Linked DNA regions of Bombyx mori. The protein of the gene in region 3 interacts with the protein of the main gene of each other region in a pairwise test. Links are inferred from orthologs where the notes say so. Each region holds a gene or a part of one and is shown on either strand. Other genes may lie near its edges.

Region 1 (3,943 bases), on a different chromosome or scaffold from region 3:
CAGTAGACTAATTTCAAGTTGTAAAACTTGAAAAAAAAACCTATTTTAACGAATCTAGCTGTAGGATTGAAATAATTTTAATAGACCTAGAAATGTATACTATTTTTTGCGCATCGAATATGGTTATTGCCTATCATTTATGTATAAAGCAGTTATTCTCGCTTAGTCACGTTTGCCTTTCAAGCGTCGACATGGTTGTGAAAAAAGTTAAACGAGAAAAAAAAATTGTACCGATTATTTATGAAGCGACGAACGAAATTTTAACAAAACTTAAATTTTGTTAAATTATCACTGGTCGCTGGATTTTACGGACGCGAATACACCGAGAATCCTATTCTATATTTTGTAATTTAATATTACCAGCGATGGACAATATTAATCAAACTTACATTTTTTTTTTTATTGGCTTTATAGGCAGACGGGTATACGGCCCACCTGATGGTGAGTGGTTACCGTCGCCCATGGACTTCAGCAATGCCAGGGACAGAGCCAAGCCGCTGCCCTACGCCTGTCGTAGCGCCATTCTGGAGGATTTTTGAACTGTTATTTAGTGCTGAAAGTGGGACACTTTTGCATGTTTCTCCCATATGAGACGGTTCTCCTTACCTCTACCCTCCATAGACAATATGTAGTACATCTTAATGTTCGAACGATTTTTTGAGATGATTCCGTCATCTTGTTTTACCACCGCATCATCTAACGATTCATCTAGAACTACTATGCTCATTTTTTAATCAACATCATCACTGTACGTTTTTAGCTTTGAAATTAATTCCCTTCAATATTTCCTGAATTTTTCCTTCCTCAGTATATTTCTTAAGTTTTGTTAAGTCATGACGTTCCGATTCAGAAGTTTTAAGGAGGGTTGTTAGCGGTAGGCCACCCTGCTGCCCTGTCGGTAGTGCTAGTGTTCTAGGTTGGTAGTGTTGGTGGTGCTGGTGTTCAAGAGAAATGGTAATCACTTATCATCTAGAGCTTCTTCAGTTAAATATTAAACATATTGTATATGATCCTTTTAAGCTGAAAGGTGATTTAATTTACTTTTCACCCAAAAGACTTGGGTTCGGCTTACTCATATTTGTATGATCTTAGTTACCTTTGCCTATTCAATTTGGTAAAGCAACTAAAAAATCATTGGATCATAAATAATACCTACACTTCATTGGATGTCTGAATCTGAATGATAGAATTGTAATGTTTTGGAGATTTGATTTCGTTGTAGACACTTTCAGTTAATGAAATAAAAATGACATAAATTGATAATCAATATATACCACATACCTAATTCTGAGATGATTATGCAAAAATAAACTGATATAAGGTTTCATAGTACATACATAAAATTTATTGTATTCAATTCAACATATTTTGCCTAGAATTTGCGGGTAAGGTAAAACTAAATTCCGTTTTGAGAATTGCAGGGAATTATTAGAAAAAATACGAAGAATACCTAGTATGCTTTCTGTTTGTTTTTAAATACGTAATCTCCATTTATAGAAAAAGAAACCGTCTGTAAATCAAGCCAAACGAAATTTCATGTAAGAAATTGATTGCAGAAAATGCATATCCTCTGTACTATATGCAGCGACCTAATAAATCAATCTGAAAGTATATATGTGACAAAATGCGGTCACATATTTCATCATCACTGCCTTATACAGTGGATTGAAAGGTAATAAATAGTTTTAGCTGGAATGATTTAATAACGTGAATGATCTCTTCAACCCGTGTCCACACAATGCTGAGTGTAGATCTCTTCGAATGCACCTTATTCTTTTCGGTCTCTGGCCTTTCGCATCCAGTCCCTAGCAACCACCCTGACCAGGTCATCGGTCCACCTCGTTGGCTGTCTGCCCACGTTACGACGTCTAGTACGAGGTCTCCACTCCAGTATTATTGTGCCCCATTGGTTCTCAGTGCAACGGCATATGTGGCCAGCCCGCTTCCACTTTTTCTGAGAATTACCATTCATGTCTTCATGCACGGACATGAAACGTAATACTATGCAAAATGTGAGGGAATTTCAAACAATTCACTTTTTTAATATGTATTGTTAAAATAATATTGCTTTTGATGATTGGCTCTATTTGAAGAGAATTGTAATCGGCTAATATTGTATTATTAGCTTATACTGTTTTTGTTGATTACAAGCAATAGTATCTGGTAACTTTTCTGTGTAAGTGATTAATCTAGGTACATTAAAACCAAACCATCATATTAGCTATAAAATGTTGTTTGAGCCGTTTACCTTTTTTACCAGGTCAAAATCCTGCCCGCAATGCCGCAACAAAGTCACAGAGAAATGCATGTTCCGAATGTATCCTACAATATCAAATGATGTGACAAGCGGCGAAGACTCAGCTACTTTACAGTCTAGATTGGATGACACACAATTACAGCTCAGGCAACAAAAATCTGTGTGCAGAGATAAAGAGGACAAAATATCTGATTTAATAGGGGAGCTAAAAAAGAATGAGTAAGATATCTCTGTGTTTTGAACTCTGACAACTGATAGCTTTTCCCCATACAATCAACATCGTAGTTCAATGATTGTGTGATGTTAAGTTGTTACAAGAACCATTATACCCCAAGCTAAGATATTAATCTAAATTCCTCAGTCACTGATTTACAAAACATGAATAGCAGGAATAAGCATAGGCTTGTGTTACTAGTGGTCTAAAAAATATTGTAATGATTTTAGAGTATTTTTAAAAAGGTATTAATTATTGAAAAAAATTATTTCTATTTTAGTAACTTGAAAAATTTACAATAATGTAATATGTAAAAAGAGAAGCCCGTTAGGTTTTTGCCTGCTATACTTCTGAAGGTTGTGGCTCTTCTTGGCGTTCACTCTTGTTTTTTTCACTTCCAATAAGAAGTTTAAATTACTGATAAATTAATTTGATAATTTAAACAATCCAGAAAATTGAACTTTTGTAAAAAGGAGGACAGCAGCTGTCTGGTATAGTTTTGTTGCTTATGACTATCACCTAAGATCAAAAGCACTGTGAGCTAGCTTGTTTACATTTCAGATACCTAAATAGTGTTGCAACCTTCTTACCTTAATAATATGAAGTATAAAATGAGTTATCACACACACATATTGCAACTGATGATGATGTTTTAAAAATTAAATAAATTAATTTTCAATGAAACATAATATATTCTAGAGCTCTATTAAAATCATATGAAAAGAAGTTGGTAAGCAGAGATTCTGCAATGACTGCTATGAGAGAACAAATGGAGTACCTCAAAATTCAAAACAAAGAGACAGTCAAGTTAAAAGAGGAAAATGAAACAATGAAGCAGAATTTACAATTGTTAAATGGGTAAGTTAATTTTAATATTCAAAAAAGCAATGGTCCTCATCAAAAAAGTCCATAACATTACCCAATGTAGACTATGATAAAGCTACAATTCAGTCAAGACCCCGGCTGGGATGTAGTCTCTTTAATTTTGCTGAGTTAATTAGTGATACATGTGTATTGTATTAGAATGTTTTTAAGAAAATGCTAATGTGTCAAGCACATACAAGACGAATTTAATATTGAATGCCGGTGTAGTGCCCACTCAAGTAAAAACCTATACTCTCCTAGTTGTTGATGAGTATGTTTACCTGGGGCAAATCAGCTAATCTAACTGGGATGGGCAGCATTCAAGAAGCTTAGTGAAATAGTGTTCGGAAGCTTTGTGAAATAATGTTCGGGTAGCTCTGTAAAAGAGTGTTTGGGAAGCATCATAGTGAGGAGTTGTTGTTGACAATGAGCCTTATCAAAAGCTTAAAAGTCACTGAAAGAGCAATGCAGAGGGTAATGCACATATTTTTCCTGCAACATTGAATTGGGAATTGTAGTAATCTGATGTTAAAGTGTGCAATATGCATCTCACTTTACCTATCGCTCACAATATTATTCTGGATCAGAAGTACCTGCATCCTGGTGTT
Region 2 (4,267 bases), on a different chromosome or scaffold from region 3:
GATATTGTCCCTGATGAACATAGGCTACTTTTTTAAAAATTTTTTTTTTTTTTGGTTTTATGTGTGTTTTAATCTTTCCGAAGCGAAGCGAGGGCGGGTCGCTAGTTTTAAAAATAAATAAAAAGGTCGTTATTTTAACATTATACTGTACCGTGAATAGGAAAAAAATTTGAATCGCAATTACACAACAATAATTTAAAAGAAAATCATGCAATCAAGAATGTCGAAAAACTATAAGTATAGGGACAATTAGTCTTCGCGGTAGGCAGCGGCTTGGCTCTGCCCCTGGCATTGCTGAAGTCCATGGGCGACGGTAACCACTCACCATCAGGTAGGCCGTATGCTCGTCTGCCTACAAAGGCAATAAAAAAAAAAGTTTCCGAACAAAATTGTCCACTCAATTGAAGATCCTCATTTAGCTATTACATACACAGGGTGTCCCAGAAAGAATGGATAATCCTGAAACACCTCATAGTAGAGCTATTGGGGACTCAAAATAAAAAATAAAAAAATATTTCTTAGGTAGTACCCAAATTAAAAATAAAGAAAAAATACCCAATTTCATGATTAAAATTTAAGTTCGGATTAGCTTTTATAAAAAATTACACTAGCTACTCATACAATTTCGTGCATATTCCTTAGTATAGTCCATGTAGAATATGATAACACCAAAAAGCCTATGGATTTCATTTATTTGTAACTGTTGTATATTCCAGAAACGCCCAGCAGTATGGAAAATATCAACTTTTTTTTAAAATACGTAATTTGGAGAGGTTGGTTGGGTACCTGAGATTCGTTTTTTTATTTTTTGTGTCCCGAATAGCTCCATCCACCAGGATTATCCATTCTTTCTGGGATACCCTGTATACATATGTATGCACGAACGAACCCTACAGACGTTGTCCTGTACACGTCTCAAATCCGAAAGTTTTTATAAAAATAATAATTGATAAAACATTTTCCAGTGGAGCGAAATGTGAATCTCAACTATTCTCGACTTGAACACACCAACTTTTTTTTAATCAAAATCGGTCCAGCCCTTTAACTCACAGAAGAATTATATTTATTAAGATAAGCCTTTTTGGTTGCCCCGTCGTTAACTAAAATTAAGCGTCCTAAAATGTTGCTACATATCTTGAAATTTGTTTTGAGTTTTATTTAATCAGATTAGACCAATCGCGATACAATAACGTATTTGAGTCATTTCGGATTCAGAGCTTGCGATGAATAATAGAGTCAAAAATGCTTAAGAGTGCAAATGAACCAATTTAATATACTTTCAAATAAAATGGAGGAAATAATATGTATGTACAGCAACAAATAACTAAAATGTAAAGTAATTTCAATGCCGGCCTTCTATTGGATAAATTATTCCAATTATAATGTCAGTTCACTAGGTTACAATCAACAGCAGTTCAATATTTAACACGAGTAAATAACTGAAGGATGTTTGTTAGCGTCCGCGGGCGGAAGATGTTAAAAATACAATTTACGATTTTTGTTTTTATAAGTTTGTAGTTGTACACTAAATATAGCGCGGGTGCGGTCTTTCTATCTTTCAATGAAATTATTGTTGTGTTAAAATTTTGTATAGTACTTTAGCGGTTAAAATAATGAAATCTCTCGAATAGATGTAGATTTTTTTTACTTGCCGATATTCAAATAATACATTACGATTATGATTATTACCCACTGTAGCCAGGCATTGATCTTTGGTGCGGAATAATGGTATGTAGGACACCGCCGCCACTGGCCCGTTGGGAGCTCCGGTATGCAGTACAAGAAATCTATTTTTTATCGCGCCAACTAATTATCTGTTAGAAAATTTCGCTTCGTGCCTTAAACGGCGGCATAATGTGCAACGTGCACTTTCATTTCACAGCTTAGAGCATTTCGGCTCTCATCCGCGTTCGTGTATTTGAGTCATCGCGTGTCAAAACATAGACATTTTCACGTGAAACCAGCAAGCGCGGCGTGAATTAGAGACGTTGCAGCATCCGAAAATACAGTAACTATATTTAGGTGTTTCGGATATATAATTTTCAGTGCGTCGCATTTACGGTGATTAAGATAAATTAGCTGATGGGTAATACTCACCAGAATCTTGCGCTCGCATTTTACGTTACAGCGGTACGCGGATGCGTGTTTTATTTCACTGAAATTTATATTCGTTGGCACCGCTCGTCGCTCGCGCAGATTCCGGTCGTGTGGCGCCCGCCCGGGCGGTTTGCCGACTGACGAAGCGACGCGCGCTCACATTAACCGTCTCCGAGTTAAAACTCTCATTATCACAGTGTCCTTCTTTAAACTATAAACCTTAGTTTAAGCCATCAATCGTGTAGTTCATTTAAAACTGTATTTCCTACGACAACATTAACACGTGTAGATCATTTTAAGATTGCAAAGTATCTCAGTGTCGAGACTGTGCTGTGGTTGGATAACGAGTGCAACACACAGAGCGTAGTTGGAAAACGACGCTAACGCAGTCGCTGAACTACTCAAGCATTGAATCAATGTTTGTTCGCTCTACATAGTGCCGCTTTGGTAACCATTGTCCGAAGAGTAGCAGACTAGCACTGATGTTATAAGTAGTAGTTTCTTTTTTGTAAAACTGGTAAAGCTAAAGTACTTTCACGTTCACATTTATTTGCCTTTAAAATTCGAGTGCAGTGTATATTTTTGGCGTTTGAGCTGTGCTGAAATATTATTGCTTTAAACAAGACTGCGCGCTCGAAATTTTCTACGTGTTACAGATAAAACTAAACCAGAATTGCAATAACATAAGACAGTGAAAGAATAAATAGCATTCATCAATGTTTTAACCGTGCCGAAGTTGCATTGCCCACTCAATAGAATAGCAATACCTACATGACGTAATTCGCATTGGCAACACTAGTTTGAACAGCCTCAAATTCCTGACAAGTGTTAAGGACGTGTTAATCCAACATCCACCCACATCGTAGACGAAGGCAGTCACGTTAGTGAAAGGAAACCTATAATTTTATACAATATTTGTTCGCGAAGGTTAATTCAATAAAGATCTCTTGTTGGTCATAATATCCTGCATGTTTCTGTTGCCAGATAAGTAGTTCGAAGGATCTTCCATCAATAGTTTTGGATATTACTAAAGATCACGTTCGAACGAATCGCAATTACACAATACTTACTGCATTGTCTCAGCCTTTTACTCTTTGTCAGGCATTATCCCTCCGAGATTAGCCATTTAGGTTAAGTTACAAGCGTCACAATTTTTATAGCAGTTCAATTTTATTACTAAAGCCTGATACGACCACGCAAAGGTGGAGCCTTGGCTCCTTGTATACTCCTAGGGATTCGGACTCATTTCGTAGGCATAACAAGTGACAAGTACAATTATATGTACAATACACTATGTATACACGATCCCGTCCGGGCGTAACTGGAACTAGGCTAACAGCGAATAGAAAAAAGAAAAAGAAAAAAAACAATACAATAAATGTACATTAATTAGGCACTCTTAGAGGGGGGTTTAATGATGAATCGAGCAGGTGGATATTGTAATTCTTCAACTGCGAGATCCTTTTGTTTGGTTTAACGAGTTCCGCACACTTTTTGACATTTGATGACGGATCTGATAACGGGGTCATGTTTTTCGACTTTTCAAACGCAATTTTCTTTATTATTTACACACATGATTGTGGTTACAGCTACCTATGTTCTTCATTCTTGCCTATTTATTGTACGATGCGACGACACGCGTTAGCCGCCATGTCTTCTGGGTTGGAAGATGGGATGATCCTTATATATGGACTTCGACTGCATATTTCAAGGTGAGAGGTTCCGTGATCTACTCCGGTAACCAATTAAAAGCAGGTGAGCAGTAATTCCGGAATTCTTGTATGCTTCACGGAATACCTTAGTGGACTGTCTCAACATCAATTCCGTGTTCTAGCCTTGTCCATAATTACGCTAATAATTAAATAAAAAAACATGGATAATTAACTACGGAATGAGATTTAAAAAGAAAACAAAGTAGAAAATAATAGTTTATTGCGGTCACGAAACTACTACACAAGTTTTTCGTATAAAATACAATATAATCTATTCAAATGAGGAATGTTACTAAACTAAAAAAAAAGAACTAAAAATGGCCTACTTATAAAAGAAAAAATATAAATAATTAACAAAAATTGGTTACATTTAATAAACGTTCTTTATTAAACATTGATCCTCACGGGTTTATAATTTTTATGGTAGTTTTTAAGATTCCATTTATAATTTTTGTGGT
Region 3 (4,168 bases):
CATCTAATCCCACTGATCTCAAAAAATAAAACACTTAAGCTTGATTGACAAAAATGCTACCCTGCTGATGCAATTAATCTACCTTAGCTCTTTACAAAGATTACTGTCAAGGCTTTTTATATGTATCAGAGATGTCTATAGACGCTGAATTGTTAACTAGGCGCAACCTTCGGTGACTTTATCGCTTCGGTAGAGCCCGGCTGGTGTACGTCCGAGCTGAATGTAAGAGATTCTTAATTCGATCGATCGAGGAGACTTCTCAATGAGTTATCGCACGAAACGCTAGCCCAGAACTATTTAGAACTCGTTTTATACTTTAATCGCCAAATCTTTATATTGTTACGCCGGTAAGAGTAACGCCATCTATCGCCGAATAGCGGAACGAATATCGAAGGATCTAGTAACACCTAGAACGCTCGCGGAGTACAACGCCATCTATTGTCAGATATCGGAAAAACACAATACTCGAAATGTGTGGAATATTCTCGATAATTCTAGGGATATGATATCGGCTATAAAAGCGTTGTAGAGATGGCACGCAGTCAGTTAGTAATTGGAACTACTCGAAGCGAAACTGCGAACGGATCACCTGAAGCGAAGAGGAAAAAGCGAACTGAGAATTTTAAAGTGTTTGTGTAGTGTTTTATGTGTTGAATACAGTTTTAATTTACGCGCGTAACAATACCTATGTATAATTCTACTGTACATATTGACATATTATGTCACTGAACTCCTCCTAAGCGGCTGGTCCGATTTGAATGAATTGTTTTTGTATGCGTTTGGGTAGCGCCGTGGATGGTTAAGATTCACAAATTAGCCCGACAGATGGCGCTGCAGTCGGTATCTATAATATTTATCTATACTGCAACTAAACGGCTGGATCGACTTGAGAGTGTATTTTTCGTATGAATTCACAGGACAACGTCTGTCGGGTCCGCTACTAAAGTATAGTTATCAGAGTAAATTGTTTCCTGCTCAATACGTACTCTGAACCCACACAATACGTTTCCCGGAGAAGACCACAACTCTAAATGTCACCATCGACGCCTTTTACGGTGTCGGTATTGCTGATACAAGTGATCCTGACAGTTTTTTTTTTAGACTTTAAAACATTGTACTGAACTGAGACCTTAGAACTCATGTCTCAAGATGGGTGGCGCATTTACGTTGTAGATGCCTCTGGGCTCCGGTAATCACTTAACACCAGATCGCCCGTCAGCTCGTCCACCCATCTAACCAATAAATAAATAAACATTACGTTACAAAACTATGCTAATATTTTTATTTACACGTGCTAAGTTGGGAACTTGACCTCTAAACCCATACTTATACTTAACGCGTTGTTAAGTATAGGAGCCCATGATCATAGCTAAGCGAACGGCCCTACCCATCATCGAGCACACGCGCAATCCGTCCTTCGATGAAAGATAACATTTCGCAACGTTCTGTTATCAATCGATACAACGGAGCGCTATCGACAACAACAACTGATATTGACTTATAATGAATTCATTCCACGCATTTTACTTATTGTCTTGATAAGCTGAGTGTGAGCTCGATCCTGAAAACGAGACAGGTGGCAGTTTTTTTTTCCTACCTAAGCTGAGAGCCTCGAAAGGCTATTTCAGCGTAACCTTAACTAGTAGGTAAGCTCACGGGGCTCAAGCCTGACGACGTTGCTAACACGAACCCTAGCAAGAGCCGTGCTTCGCAGAATCTACCACCGGATCGGAAACGCGACCCACTGATAAGATCCGGCGAGAAACTCAGTGGGCTGTGTCTGAGGGTTAAATGCCAGTACTGGTATATCTAGATATCACATAACATTAACATAACCGAAATAGAAAATTACTATAGTATTTTCATCAGTTTTAGCGAGTTGTTGGCATAAATAAAAACTAGTCTTACGGAAAAAGACGATATTTATTTTCGTTTTTAATACGCAATACGTACTACGTTTTCGGCTGCAATATCTGCATCCAATATGAGAATAGGCTAATCATCATTCATCATCCTGCCCTTCTCTCAGTTACCTGTGGTCGGCGCAACATGTTTTCTCCTTCCATACTCTTCTATCATATACCATTTCTTCGCTCACTCCCCTCTTACCCATATCGTCTTTCAGGCAATCCATCCATTTCTTCTTAGGTCTACCTCTTCCTCTATATCCTTCCACATTCATAGTTAACACTCTCTTACTAACCTCATTTTTATTTTGTCTCATCACATGTCCATACCATCCCATAGGAATAGGAGAATAGGCTAATAGAGCTAGTTAACCTCTATATATAAAAATGAATTGCTGTTCGTTAGTCTCGCTAATACTCGAGAACGGCTGAACTGATGTGGCTGATTTTGGTCTTGAATTATTTGTGGAAGTCCAGAGAAGGTTTAAAAGGTAGATAAATATGAAAATGATCGGAATTAAATAAAAATAACAATTTGGTTTTTCCTTTGATGTGTCCCCCGTCGGACGGATTGCTTTTAAACAAAAGTTTTAAGTTTATTTTATACAAAAGTTTAGGTATTTTATTTATCGATTGAGGCACTACGAAGTCTGCCGGGTCAGTAAATAAATAAATTAAATTTATTCAATTTATTAAATTTATAAACTTTATTAAATTGCTTTGATAACTTAATTAAATATATTACATTACGGTTTATAACAATAGTTAATTATATTTACCTGCAGCTGACCCATTTCGAAGAGTTCATTACAGAAGTAGCAGGGACTTTCGTTAGGATTCTTCTTATTTCCCGACGCGCCGACTCCATTTGCGATAATCCTATTTAAACTCATTTTCGCATAGTTCTCCTGAATAATGTATTCAAACACTCATCATAAAACAACTGTGTACGGGTTTTTTAATAAAAAAAAATCGTAATTTTTTTAGTAGAATTATCCTTCACCAGGCTTTTCACTAAATGCACTTAACATCGGGTGAACTTGAGAGCTTGGATTCAATAAATAAAGGATACGACGCAATGGTTTCACTAATTTAGATGAGAATTTAATTGACAGTATACTCTTTGTTGCAGTATCTGAACGAACTCACGGTCTGCAGTGTTTTAAGTGGGCACCGATCATTGATTTTTTAATACCATAAAGGCGTGTATATTCTCAAGAGATATTCTCAATATATTCTCAATTCCTCCATATTTCGATTAACTATCACACTTAAAATAAGACGCGCGTTATCCGTAACCGAAGATTTAACGTTGTCCTCAATAAGACCATCAATAGCGAAACAATAACGAATTTATTAAACTATTTAAAGATATTTTCACAGAAACATGTCAACACCGTTATATCCTTTGTTACAAAATGATTCACGGTTGTTATCTATACCGTAAGCTGATACTGGGCGTTTTCGTGATAACAGATACGTAAATACTCCGTATCAATTGTGAATCTAGTATTTTCGCTTCAAATGGGTCAAGGTGAACCTAATTTTTTGCGGGATTAGCCAGTGAAGACATAATTTAGAATATCTTGCGCCGAGTGCTCTGAGGAATTGTTCGAGATGATACCGGCATCTCGTTTTCACCATCGCGCCGCCCGACACCGGAGTAGAGTTCATCCATACTACGTGGAGCCACTGCGGTCATCCATAGTGCGTTTCCAGAGGTCTTTTTTGCCACGTACCATCCGGCTATGGAATGAGCTCCCCTCCACGGTGTTTCCCGAGCGCTATGACATATCCTTCTTCAAACGAGGCTTGTGGAGAGTATTAAGCGGTAGGCAGCGGCTTGGCTCTGCCCCTGGCGTTGCTGAAGTCCATGAGCGACGGTAACCACTCACCATCAGGTGGGCCGTATGCTCGTCTGCCTACAAGGGAAATAAAAAAAAATAAAAAAATGGGATTTTGCTTGACAGACTCTCGTTTCCAAAGTGTGTGACGAAACGATTTATACGAGCACTTGTGACCACTTAACATCAGTAGAACGGCGTGCTCGTCTTTCAATCTAACCCGATTACTAAAACAGAGTGATGGGCATTTTAGCTCATCTGAATCTCTATGTCAGTTGCAATAATAATATTCCAACAATATATTTCGACTATTTAAAATTTAAAGGTCATCTGATATATTTGCATACATTAGCGATTTGAACACAGCTAATATTAAATATCGGTTATGCAACTCGAACATTTCTTTGACAGCTTGCT

Evidence for each region.
Region 1: the proteins of TRAF3 (region 3) and E3 ubiquitin-protein ligase TRAIP interact in a two-hybrid assay, tested with the Drosophila melanogaster proteins (2 studies listed by BioGRID). The link is inferred for Bombyx mori from reciprocal best matches to the Drosophila melanogaster genes Traf-like and nopo.
Region 2: the proteins of TRAF3 (region 3) and CBP80/20-dependent translation initiation factor interact in a two-hybrid assay, tested with the Drosophila melanogaster proteins (2 studies listed by BioGRID). The link is inferred for Bombyx mori from reciprocal best matches to the Drosophila melanogaster genes Traf-like and CG13124.

What each region holds. Positions count from the first base shown.
Region 1 is NC_085113.1:1,838,563-1,842,505, forward strand, and holds the start of E3 ubiquitin-protein ligase TRAIP, read left to right. Parts: upstream 1-1,143; 5' UTR 1,144-1,390; intron 1,391-1,497; 5' UTR 1,498-1,559; coding exon 1,560-1,672; intron 1,673-2,260; coding exon 2,261-2,476; intron 2,477-3,170; coding exon 3,171-3,329; intron 3,330-3,943.
Region 2 is NC_085114.1:13,969,760-13,974,026, reverse strand, and holds the start of CBP80/20-dependent translation initiation factor, read right to left. Parts: upstream 2,801-4,267; 5' UTR 2,098-2,800; intron 1-2,097.
Region 3 is NC_085120.1:2,140,803-2,144,970, forward strand, and holds the start of TRAF3, read right to left. Parts: upstream 2,801-4,168; coding exon 2,687-2,800; intron 1-2,686.